Linked DNA regions of Ovis aries. The protein of the gene in region 2 purifies or fractionates together with the protein of the main gene of each other region. This does not show direct contact. Links are inferred from orthologs where the notes say so. Each region holds a gene or a part of one and is shown on either strand. Other genes may lie near its edges. The genes, in order: MECP2, KPNA4 and KIF22.

Region 1 (3,942 bases), on a different chromosome or scaffold from region 2:
CATAGATAGTTAAAGGCTGTCTTATTCCCATCATTGGTGCTATTGAAAACTCATTTATCGATTATTTAGGTGAAAGGGCAGGTTTTACGTTATGTCTATGTGATTGTAATAAAAATCTCTCAAAGCCCATGCAATTCATTTAGGCCAAGTTGCAGTCTGGGCACAGGGGTCTCCCTACTTGGTAGCCAAAGAATTCTCTCCTCCCCTCCTTGAGCTTCTTTTTAGTTGTTCCTTTGTGTTGAGGTGGAGACTGCTTATAATGCGGTGTTTGCTGCTCCTGCAGTGCCTCCTCGCAGGGCTGGCTGTCGCTCCACCCTGCTGCTGGCCCAGGTTTCCCTATCCTCAGTTGGTGACACTTTTCCCCACACCGGCCAGCTGTGTTGCTTCACCTCCTGGTCACGTCCCGAGTCCCCACTACCTACACCTGGGACTGTGCCTCGAGAGCCCCTGGAGCAGTCTGCCCTGCCCTGGGCATCGCCCCATGAGGAATTGCCATCCCCTGCCCCAGATCATCAAGGTGATGCTGCTGCAGGGCTGCTGTGGCATGGAGTCCAGCAGGCCTCAGAGTCCCCCAGGCCACCTGCTGCTCTCTGGGGTCTCCTGCAGGCCACTCTCCACACAGCAGCTGAAGGAATCCCATCACACCCAGAATCAAACCCGACACAGCTCCATGACCCCTCCTTGAGGCCTCCCTGCTGCCTAAAACCTTCCTCATAAGACCCTTGAGACCCTCCCTCACTTTCTGTCTTTCCCTCCTTTTCCCCCCAACATCGCCAAGCGGGTTATTTTCTTCTCTGAAATCTAAACAGTTCATGCTTTTGGATCTTCACTTTCCCCAGCACAGGCTGCCCTAGGACCTGAGCCAGCCTGTTTCCCCTCCATGGATGCTAGGCGTGTTCTAGTCTCTTCCCTTCTGTCTTGATTTTCTTTTTGGTTATGTCAACTTTTACATGATTCGGAAAATGAAATTCTGGTCCACACACCTGGCAAGTTCTGGCCCTGTGCCATTCCTCACCTCAGTCCCGCCTACCCCATGTTGGACTAGTTCTGTGCATTTCTGCCCTCTGCTTCCTAAAGTCTCTGTTTCTCCCCTGGAGAATGGCCTACCGTGGACCCCTTCCTGGGGGTCCCACCCTGAGTTTCCCACCCTGGGGTTCAGGTTACCTGGCTCTCCGTGGTGTGCACATGTCAGTGTTGGCCCAATAGGTCTCGGGCGGTGGCTGTCTGGCTTGGCTGCAGTCTTGGGCCAGTAAAAAGAATGCTATCACCAATAGCATTGTGCTCAAATGCAGAATGTTGTTTTCTGTTTCTGTGGGTATGTGTTCTTGGTAGATTTCTAGAAGGGCTGGCCCTAGACGGCATTGACACCCTTGTTGGTACCTAAGGGGCATTCCTGGGGCACATGCTTCATGCCAAAGCTCACCGTAGTTACAGTATCCACAGATGCACATGAGGGCTCTGAAGAAGCCAGACTTGGCCATCAGGGCCCTGTTTTCCTGTGGCCTGGGACTGTCTGGGTTCCTGACACAGAGCTAAGCCTGGGCTTACCCTCGAGCTCTGCCGGAGACAGCCAGGATAGGTAGGAGGGCGAGGTGTGCCCTTTCCATGCCCCGTCTCCCTGGGCCCGACCTGTGAGTTCTGGTGCAAACTCACTTTTGGGGACTGAGCCATGTCATTCGAGTCTTGCGGCCAAGGCAGGCCTTGGTGCCTTGGTGGTGGTCTCCAGGGTATGGCCAGCAAGGGAAGTCACTTGGGGTGGGTTGTTGTGAGCCTCACGGGCCCCAGGAGGCTCTGGGGCTGAGATCTGGAACACAGATGAGTCTGGCTCTTTTCCAGGGTGAGTTTCTAAGAGAGGGCTTTGCAGGTGACTGGCTCTGAGCCCACAGTTCTGGTTTCCAGGCCTCCCTGGCCCAGGTGATGCTCTCACCCTGTTGGCCCAGCCACGAGAGCAGCATGGCCAGACTCTAATCCCAGAGTCTGGAGCCTCACAGTAACCACTGTCCAAGGAGATAGGAGGGGGTCCTACCGGGTGGGACCCATGCATACCGGAGGAACTGGTCTGTCAGCATGGAGGAATGGGGAGGCACCCGCCCTGGAATCAGGCACGTCCCAGTGCCAAAGCCCCGCGTGGTCAGGAGAGTCTGGTGAGAAAGACTCACCCAGCAGGGAATTGCTCCTCTTCTCACGTGAGAACCCTGGGCAGTAGTGTCTGGTTGCCCCATCCCACTGTTTAGACAATGCCTTTGTGACTCTTCTCTGTCTAGGGTGTTGGTACCCATTGTCAAGATAGGAGGAGACTGAGGCACAGGATGTTGAAGTCACTTGTGCAGATCCATGTTTGGAAATGGCAAAAAAAAAAAAAAAAATCACGATTTGGGCTCGGTGTGGCTTACTCCAAATCTGCAGGTTTTTCCTCAACACTGCACTCGGCACCACCTCCCCAGGGGCAGTGTTGGGCTCTTCCCATCACCAAGGTGTATTGTACGGTTTTCATTGAACACCCATTTGAGAAAACCCCAAACACAAAAGCTTAAAGTAACACTTATGCTTAAAAACACAAAAACTTAAAGTAACACTCCCTGGGGAAGAGGAGCCCCCTCAATTTTGGTGAGTAGGTCCCTCTCCAGCGGGTGAGAGAGCCTCTCATCATCCGTCCAACCCAGAGGCCCTAGCTCGTAACACCGAGAAGCCATCTTGGCAAGCCTGCTAGAGATGGGCCTCAGGGTGACCACAGTGTCGGTAGGGTGCTGTGGGCCATCACTGTCAGCAGCCCCAGGCTCTCAAGTCATCTGTGAAGGGGAAGGGCATTTCAATCTGGGGGACGCTAGTAGGACAGCCCCTCTCCTGGGGCCCTGCCCATGTCAGGGCACCCCAGACCTGCTGGCGCCCACTTTTTTCTGCACACCAGTTTGTTCCCTGTGATACTGACATCCTTGTTTAACACTCAGGGAAGAAAAGTCCGAAGAGCAGGATCTCCAGGGCCTGAAGGACAAACCTTTGAAGTTCAAAAAGGTGAAGAAGGATAAGAAAGAAGACAAAGAGGGCAAGCATGAGCCCCTGCAGCCAGCAGCCCACCACTCTGCCGAGCCAGCAGAGGCCGGCAAAGCAGAGACCTCAGAAGGGTCAGGCTCGGCCCCAGCCGTGCCAGAAGCTTCTGCGTCCCCCAAGCAGCGGCGCTCCATCATTCGTGATCGGGGCCCCATGTACGATGACCCCACTCTGCCGGAAGGTTGGACCCGAAAGCTTAAGCAAAGGAAATCTGGCCGCTCCGCTGGGAAGTATGATGTGTACTTGATCAAGTAAGTGAGGGTGATTCCTGTCTCTCCAGAGCAGGGAAGGCTAGTGGTGGTGGTTGGGAAAGAGTCAGGGATCACCACTAAGAAACTTTTGGGGACCCCTTGGAGTGTTAGCTCCTTGCGGCTCATGGATCAAGAAAGTGTGTGTGCGTAACCCACTTCCGGTCGGGTCTTCAGTAGTGACCACTGCTGGTGGGTCTGATCAGGTATGCTTGGAATGACCACCTGGGGAGGTCACTGCCCTGAGGGAGATGTCCATCAGGGCCTTGTCTGGAGGAAGAATAGCACTGGGGACACAGAGTTCTGCCATTCATACTCTGCTGATGATTTCCCAGCAGAGGGGCTGTCCTCAGGACCTGGGAACCTCTTCTTTGTGGGAGAGTCCTTCTGTGCCAATACTTCATGAGCCCTGAGAAATACAAATTCACAGGGTTCAGTCTGTTGCGTGAGGCGTGCTGGTAAAGGGGGGCTGTCTGATACAGCCTAGAGAGAGCCCCAGATGGGCTCGGAGTACCTTTCCCACTGTCCCTCTGGCCTTTGTCCAGCTGTGGGCTGGTGGTTGGGTGTTACCTGTTGAAACAGAGTCACTTCCTAGCCAGATATTTAGAGGACAAGTGTGACTACGTTCATTTCACTTGTCCCCCTT
Region 2 (4,666 bases):
CCGGCAATGAAGGAGACCTGAGTTCCATCCCTGGGTTGGGAAGATACCTTGGAGGAGGGCATGGCAACCCACTCTAGTATTCTTGCCTGGAGAATCCCATGGACAGAGGAGGCTGGCGGGCTACAGTCCATAGGGTCACACAGAGTTGGACACAACTGTGCGACTAAGCACATACACACACAGGCCTTCCAATATTCTCCCAGGATAATAAAAGATGTTTTTATTTCATTGCAGGCATATGTGACAGAATAAATTACAAGTGAGGAGAAAGGATGACTTTCTCTTAAAATCATATTCCATTCCTTTAGGTGAAACATGAAAATACTCATATTCCTAATGCATGCAGAGTTATCAAAGCCACTAAAGGATACCCACAAGGCAAAATGAACTTCTCAAAACATTTTACTTAATGTGTATTTACAGCTATTTTTAAAAAATCACATAGCAAATATGGCTCTAATATAGAATCAGCCTTTAATCTTATTTTGGCTAAAATAAGAAATACACAGTGAGGGGAGAACATCAATTTAAAAAATAAGGATCACCTAAAAATAGCTTGGCAATTCCACAGAAAGAGACACATAAAGTTACCATACGTGTAAAACTAAAGAGAAATGAAAACGCAGGTCTACACAAAAATGTGTAGATGAATATTCAGAGCAGCATTAATCATTAAAAAGTGGAAACAATGCAAATGATGAATGAATGAACAAAAACTAGTATATGCACACACTGGAATAGTCAGCTATAAAAAGGAATAAAGCACTAATACATTATTTTTACAATATGTATAAACCTTGAAAACATCAGCTACCTAAAGAAGCCAGTCACAAAAGATCACATACTGTATAATTCCATTTATATGAAATATTTAGAATAGGTAAATCTAAAAAGACAGAATGACCGCTAGTGAGTCTGGGTTTCTTTTGGAGAGTGATGAAAATGTTCTAAGACTGTGCTGATGGCTGTACAACTATGTGAAAATACCAAAAACCATTTCAAATGGGTGAACTGTATAGTATGTGAATTCCATCTCAATGAAGTTGTTTAAAAAATAAAAAACAGCCAGAAAAGTAGAAGGGAAAGAGATTAGAAGGATTGTCAAGCATTTGATATTTCTCTAGATTTTTCTAATTTTGCCATATTTAAGCTTTTAGGTTTTGTAATTTGTGATTTCCCCCCCTTATTTTAAATATTCATAAGTCAAAAATTTTTTTATCACATCATTACACTACTAAACAATGAAAATCATAAATTCTTCATTTAAATGGCAATTTCAATACCATGTGAATCATCTCAATAAAGTTAAAATTCTTTCATTTAAAATAAAAAGGTGTTATAAAAATTATGCCTGATGTTAATCTTAAAAGAATCACAGAATTAACCAGATAGTATTTAAGTCCCTCAAACTAGGAAACCCACTGAGACAGCATTAACTGCCTTGGAGAGTAAATGGCTTTGTGGAAAGCCCCCCAAGCAGTCACTATCTCAATCAGGCAAAAGCTCAAAGTTCAGAAACAGATGATGGGAATTTGAAGATCTCAGTATAAAAAAGTACAAAAAAAAAAAAAATACCACTAGACCACCTTCTTTTAAAAGCTAAACTCTTGATTCAGATGCAGAATGGAAATATTTAAAATTAAAAAAAAAAAAAAGCAAACAAAAGAACCCCTATTCACCTAGACTCCTAATACTGAAGGAAAAAAGTCTAATATCAAAAATCTGTAATAGGTGTTTAACTCACACCTTATGGCCCTTAACCTCAAAAGCAGCTATTTTCTAAAATAATGAAGGGGTTTTTTTCACCCTTTTAGAATAATAAAATGTGATGGTGCCATTCCGCAGCCCACCCCATCCCCCATTACCACCACCACCGGCAGGTGGAGGGAAAGGATACTGTAGACTAGAGGAAGACAGCTTTGAATAACCCTTTGGACTTTATAGGTAAGAATGCAGCTGGTGGTCTCTCAGGAAAGGGTAAAAAGATTTGTGAACAAGCTGACATAAGGGTTATCCTTTGCCAGGAAGAGCGCACACCGTGAGCCACATCTTGCTCATCCACATCAGCTATATCCACAGTAAAACACAGGCCGCTGGAAGGCACTGTTAGCATCACCAGGAAGGCCTCTCACGCCGGGGGTGTTTTTTTTCAACGGAGAAGTTGACTCCTGTAGTTTGGATATTGGGGGGAGGCAGGGGTAAAGCGGGAGTCGGAAAGACCAGAGAAAGTGCCTTTAAGTGGAGACGACTCGGGCCTCGCTGAGGAAGTTCCGAGCCCCACTCGGTCGCCACACGCTAGTCCCTCCTACCTCCCCACCCTCGGCCCCAGACGTCGTTGCGGGAGCCAGAGCCGGAATCTCCGCCGCCGCTCCGGGGCTGGGGGCGCAGGCGGGCCGGGGCGGCGCGGCACACGCACGCCTCCTCCACACTCGCCGCGCCCGGCCTCCCTGCCGCGAGGCCCAGCCCCTCGCAACCGCGCCGGGCCAGCTCCGCCGGGCAGGCCTAGGCCGCGCCGGCCGTACCCCGGCACCTCGCTCCCCGCGGAGGCGGACCAGGCCCGACACAAACTTCCCGGCGCGTTAGCACACGCGTCACGGACGGGCCGGCCCCCAGCGCCATTCCCCTGCGGCCCGGCGGCGGCCGCGGCTCCCGCCCCTACTCCCCACACTCCGAGTCCCGGCGGAGATCGACCCGAGGCCCATGGCCCTCACCCCTCCGGCGTCCCCGAGTTTACCTCCAAGTCGCGGCCTTTGTTCTTGAAATTCTTGAGCCGTTGGTTGTCCAGTTTCTCGTTGTCCGCCATGGCCGGGCCGGTGACTCCTTCCCCCGCCCGGGCCCCGCGGGATCCGCCCCAACCACCACGCCGCACCGACACTCCCAGGAACCGGGCCGCTGCCTGAGCTGCTGTGCCCGCCGCTTCCTTCCTCCTCTCACCTGCCTTCGCCGCGGTCTTCGCCTCTCCCCGCCCGTCCCCCCCCGCCCTAACCCCAGCGCGACCGCAGCTCCGGCGAAGACAACTGCGGAGCCGGGCGGCGGCAACGGCGGCGGAATGTGCTGCCGGCTGCGAGGGGGAGGCAGCCTCGATCTGAGGGCCCCGGCGCCGCGGCCACGCCCATCGCCGCCAGTCCCGCTCGCCGATTGGCCAACCAGACTCCGGTGCGCGCGACCAATCAGAAAGAACGATGGAGAGCGGGGGCGGAAGAGCGAATGGAAAGGGGAAGCGGGAGACTCTGGGAGGAAGGGGCCGCGGGATGGGCCCGGAGGGGAGGGGGTGTGGCGAGGAAGAGCAGGGAGGGACCACGTGCCCCCGGAGCAGGGGGGAGGAAGCGAAAGAGAAGTAGGAGGCTTAAAGGAAGGCGGGAAGGGGAAGGGGGAAGGAGACGCCCGGGAACGAGTTGGTTTGTTCTTGTTGTAGGACCCGCCCCAGAGGTCTGGAGTCCCCCGGCCAAAGCTCAATCAAAGTACGTTCTTTTCTTCTTCGGTGCGTCTTCTCTCCTAGGGCATTCTTTACGCGCTCCTGGTGCTTTACAGGAGATCTGCGCCTCGGTTCCATCCCGGATCGGGACAGCCCCCTATTCTCAACCGAGCTCCCTACCCTAGCAGGGGTCTCTGCTGTCTGGGGGCCTGGCCTTGGGGCCTGGACTGGAAAGAGTGACTAGCGTTCCGGAGTCGCAGCGGAAAGCGGGAGGGTCAGTGGCTGGAAAAGGAAAAGGACGCTTTAGAGGAATCTGATTCATCCCCTCTGACCAAGTCCCGCAACAGGTGGGAACTTGGGAAGCGCTGATTTATCCTGTGGTTATACTTGTGTTGTTGGTTAGTTGCTAAGACTTAACGGACTCTTAGGGGCTTCCCTGGTGGCTCAGTGGTAAAGGTATAGGACTCCTGGCGACCCCATGGACTGTAGTCCGCCAGGCTCCTCTGTCCATAGGATTTCCCAGGCAAGAATACTGTAGTGGGTTGCCTTTTCCGTCTCCAGGTGCTCTTCCCAATCCAGGGATCGAACAGGTGGCGCCTGCTTGGCAGGCGGATTCTTTACCGCTGAGCCACTAGGGAAGTCCTCCATCCTCCAAGATACTTCGTCTTGCAAAGTTAAAAGGAATTTCTCGGCCACACAGTACTAACTTCTGAAAGGCGGGAACCGTGGCACCAGACATAGGAAATGTAATATTGTGACTCTGCTTAGAAGGGAAAAGAGTTCCAAAGATACACATCTCTAACAGAAATGTTATTACCAGAGATAGAAATAGCACAATCGACGAAAGAATGTACTAAAAGTACTTCAGAAAACGGGAGACGGAAATGGTTTAAAAATATATTTTGAAACGTTTAAAATGAGAATAATGCCTTTAAAGTCCTGAATACTTTGTATGCTTTCAGCTACCTAGGCACACAGAAGCTGTGCTTGGAAACAATTCACACTGTACATTAACTTGAATGTAAATTCAGTGCCGATTTTAAGTTTAAAATGGTGTTCATTATAAATTTTATTCCCCATAGAACCATTTAATTGAGGTAACATTGCACACGGTAGCACTGATGTCTTGAAACTGAGTTTAGAATAAGAAAATTCAGTTCAGAATACCGTACTCCTAAAAGAAGGGTGTGATCACAGTATCCACCAAGAGAGATGCAATACAAACAGGAAATAACCACAACTTGTAATTTT
Region 3 (3,942 bases), on a different chromosome or scaffold from region 2:
GTGGGTCAGTCAGTAGCCTCACCTTCCCCTTCCCTGACCGCTGTTCCTCGATACTCCAGCAGGCCCGAGAACCCCTTTCTCCAGCCCCTTTTACCCGAGATGGGAGGCCTGACCTGCAACAGGCGAGTGAGCTTGCTGTCCCGGTAGGGTACCCGAGGGAGGCCCTGGTTCAAAGCATCCACCACCTTGCCCAATACAAACAGGGAGGTGTTGATGGCTCCACTCTCCTTCAGCCTTAGGCCCTTGTTGCCTGTGCGCCGGTTGTCCTCTGAGCCAGCCAAGTCAATCAAGTAGAGTTTCCCTTCCCGCTGGCGAAATGGGGCCAAGCGTTCTCGCTGATCCACCTGGGGGCAAGAGCAAGGGCCCCCATTTAATTCAAATTCTGGGGGCTCCGCAGGTCCTCACCCCTGTCGGGGGTGGAGGAGAGGTCTCACCTTAACCAGGAGCACAGCATGACTGCGGGAAGAGCGCTGGTTGAGCCGGGTGGCTCCCACCGTCCGATTTCGGCTGGCTGGCAGGAAATGCCGCTCAAAATCAGCAAAGCTAGTGATGGGCTTCTGCGTGAGGCCCGGAATCAGGATATTTCCTCGGCAGTCTTCTCGGATCACCAGGTCTCCCGATGAAGGTTCCAAGAGGTCTAATACCTATGTGAGCAGTGAGGGGTAGGGCCAATTCTCCACTTACAGGCTGCCTACTTCCTGCCTGTGGTTCTCGTTTTCTTTGCTGGATTCTCAGAGTTGTGCCATCTGCTACCCTAACCTCTGTCTTTCCAGGTGTCCTTGCTAGATCAAAACTTCATGTTCCAGAACCGGGTCTGATTTTTACCCTTTGTTTCTTCCCTCCCCAATCAGAAAGGGCCCTTGAGGACTTCCTGGTGGTCCAGTGGCTAAGACTCCACACTCCCAGTACAGGGGGCCTGGGTTCGATCCCTGGTCAGGGAACTAGATCCCACATGGCAACTAATGATCCCACATGTGCCTCAATTAAGACCCTGAGCAGCGAAATGAATATTTAAAAATGGGGCTGGGGGGCTCACCTTTTCCTGGTAGATCTCTAAGTAGGACATAGTAACAGAGAGGGCCCACGGCCGGCCCTCAGCACCCTCCTCCCTCGTGAGCTGTAGGAGGTCCATGAGAGCCCGAGGAATCACCCCAGGCTGCTCTGGGCTGCCCAGCATTGTGTGTGTCTTCCCTGGGGAAAGAGTGGAGAGAGCTGTGAGATTTTCTTCCCCGTTCCCGAGTCCCTTCTGGCCCAGGGCTGCTCTGTATCTGGCCTCCTCACCTGCCCCTGTGGGCCCATAGGCGAGCACACTGGCATTCTGCCCTTCTAGCAAGTGCCTCAGGATGGGCTGCACCGATCCTGCATAGATGTCCTGCTGAGAGCTCCTCTCCCCATAGAAAGCATCAAACCTGCGGGCAGGAAGAAAGGCGGGACTCAGTAGCAGGTTCCATTCTCACCCAGGTCTAGAGGATAAAACTGGTCTCACGTTTAAGGGTCCCTATTCTTCTTCTTACACAAAGGTCTAAGAAAGTGCCCACTGAACACCCATTCTGTCCCAGTCTCTGTTTTGGTGTAGAAACACAGAGATGAATTTGGTATCCCTGCTCTTAGGAGTTCTGCAGTCTGGTGGCATAGATAGATACCCACACTTTGCTGTGACTCAGGAAACAAAGATGAGAATGCACTAGAAGGAGTAACATTCTGCCTGGGGAAGGAGGATTTTTGCCAGAGAGAGAAGAGAAAGATACTCTAAGTGTCAAAAATAGCACACAAGACATGGTATAAAAGGGCCAGGCTTCCCAATCCTTTTTCATAACACAGAATTTATAGAAAGAGGCATCTGTACACCACATGGAGTAAAGACTAGATGAGACTTGACACACCTGAAGCTTAGTCACTGTACTCTGACGGAGAAGCTTCGGTTGAGGCAGGGATTAGCACTGATATAGTGGAGTGTAGCATGTGCTGGGGGAAATGAGGCTGGAAAGAAACTAAAGCCAAGTTGTCAAGGGCCTAGAACAAGGTTGGCAAACTTTTTCCATAAGAAGCCAGATAGTAAACATTTGGGGCTCTGTGGACTACATGGTTCCTTTCACAACTGCTCACCCGTCACTGTAGTCAGGCAGAAAGCAGCCGCAGATAGTATGTAAATAAATGAGCATGACTATATTCCAATAAAGCCTTATTTACACAAAGTCTGCTGACAGATTTCACCTGCAGATCTTAGTTTGCCACCCTCTGGCCTAGAATGACAGGCCAAGGAGCCTGAACTTTAAATCTCCCAAGGAATTTTAAAACAGCTGTAAGCTCTATCCCCCAAACATGGGCGGTCTTATCTGACACCACCCAGCCACAGCCTGGGCTGGCTGGCTGGTCTACGTTTCCCCAGTCCTTCCCACCCCTCCCCAAAGGTCCGAGCTGGACTCCCCAGCTCGCCTTTGCTGCTCCTTCCCCACTTTGTGCCTGCTTCCCCTCTAAGACTGTGAATAGCAACGTGCATCTGACTCAGCCTCCAGCCTTCCCCACACTCTCCTGGACAGGCCCTATCGCAGTGGGCACCCATGAACATTACCCAAAGCAAAGGTGTGGCAAACAAAGCTGCACTAAGGAAGGAAGAAGGATCCTCAGGAGGAGGTCTGAGAAATCACTTCTGGGCAAGTGATAGTGCGAGCAGGCCTAGGAGAGAGAGAGTGGGAGGGAGTGTGGCCTGAACCTTACTGGTATTTGAGAGTCTCTTGGTGGTTCCTCCAGTTGGCAATCTCCAGAGAACAGCTGTCCAGGCCCCGCACACAGGGGGTGTCGTTTTCTTCAGCTGTCCCATCCACAAACGGGCGCAGTCTCACAGCTACCCTCACTCGAGCTGGAGGTGGGCGCCGGGCAGCTCCCACCTTGCTTAGCCGACAGCGACCGGCTCCTAGAAGATCATTTTTAGGCGTGAAGCATGGTGGCAGCTTTGCTGAGAGATAAGGGTATGAGTGGGCTTCCTGGTGGCACTAGTGGTAAAGAACCCACTGCCAGTGGGGGAGACCTAAGAGACACAGCTTCAAACCCTGGGTGGGGAAGATGCCCTGGAGAAGGGCATGGCAACCCACTCCAGTGTTCTTGCCTGGGAAATCCCATGGCCAGAGGAGCCTCACGGGCTACAGTCCATAGGGTTGCAAAGAGTGGGACACGAGTGGCGCAACTGAGCACACACGAACACACAAGGCTAGCAGTCTTGGAGGTGGAGGTAACTGAGCTGACCCCTGAAGAATAAGTAGGGTCACTGCCAAGCATTTCAGGAAGAAGGAAAGGCACGTGCAAAAAATATGGAGGGGTGAAAGCAGGCCCCCGTGTAGAACCACTAAGGCAGGACTGTGTGTGTCCTGTAGGTGAGTCAAACACAGAAGGGCAGGATGGAAGAGAAAGAAGAATCAAATACACGGTCTCAGGCAGGGTGCAGTGGGGGGCTGAAGGAGAGAGATTATCTATGGCTGGAACCATAAACCAGATCGTGTACTTAGCAAACATTCACATTTATGAAGCACTGGCTAAGTGCTGCTGCTACTAAGTCACTTCAGTCGTGTCCGACTAAGTGCTAGGCACACTTTAACTTCCATGGTGTCCCTGAAAGGTAGCTTCTGTCAGTCCTATTAACCTGTGAAGACGCTCACAGAAGTGCAGCCACTCTCCAAGCACCTCGGTGTTTTAGGCCTGGAGCCCTGTGGCTATTACTGTATCTTGAACCATAACCTACATTGTATCTTCTTTGCTATTCAGAGGAATAAACAGGGATTATTTAACTTATATGCAGAGTACATCATGAGAAACACTGGACTGGAAGAAACACAAACTGGAATCAAGATTTCCGGAAGAAATATCAATAACCTCAGATATGCAGATGACACCACCCTTATGGCAGAAAGTGAAGAGGAACTAAAAGCCTCTTGATGAAAGTAAAAG

The links.
Region 1: the proteins of KPNA4 (region 2) and MECP2 purify together in Homo sapiens (affinity purification with mass spectrometry; 3 studies listed by BioGRID and IntAct, counting the BioPlex papers as one, with this or other methods). This does not show direct contact. The link is inferred for Ovis aries from reciprocal best matches to the Homo sapiens genes KPNA4 and MECP2.
Region 3: the proteins of KPNA4 (region 2) and KIF22 purify together in Homo sapiens (affinity purification with mass spectrometry; 3 studies listed by BioGRID and IntAct, counting the BioPlex papers as one, with this or other methods). This does not show direct contact. The link is inferred for Ovis aries from reciprocal best matches to the Homo sapiens genes KPNA4 and KIF22.

The regions. Positions count from the first base shown.
Region 1 is NC_056080.1:80,263,805-80,267,746, forward strand, and holds part of MECP2 (methyl-CpG-binding protein 2), read left to right. Parts: intron 1-2,948; coding exon 2,949-3,299; intron 3,300-3,942. UniProt on the Homo sapiens protein: Chromosomal protein that binds to methylated DNA. It can bind specifically to a single methyl-CpG pair. It is not influenced by sequences flanking the methyl-CpGs.
Region 2 is NC_056054.1:227,593,843-227,598,508, reverse strand, and holds the start of KPNA4 (importin subunit alpha-3), read right to left. Parts: upstream 3,088-4,666; 5' UTR 2,804-3,087; coding exon 2,735-2,803; intron 1-2,734. UniProt on the Homo sapiens protein: Functions in nuclear protein import as an adapter protein for nuclear receptor KPNB1. Binds specifically and directly to substrates containing either a simple or bipartite NLS motif.
Region 3 is NC_056077.1:26,958,998-26,962,939, forward strand, and holds part of KIF22 (kinesin-like protein KIF22), read right to left. Parts: exon of another isoform or gene 3,794-3,942; intron 2,915-3,793; coding exon 2,719-2,914; intron 1,410-2,718; coding exon 1,282-1,409; intron 1,192-1,281; coding exon 1,037-1,191; intron 645-1,036; coding exon 435-644; intron 345-434; coding exon 114-344; intron 1-113. UniProt on the Homo sapiens protein: Kinesin family member that is involved in spindle formation and the movements of chromosomes during mitosis and meiosis. Binds to microtubules and to DNA. Plays a role in congression of laterally attached chromosomes in NDC80-depleted cells.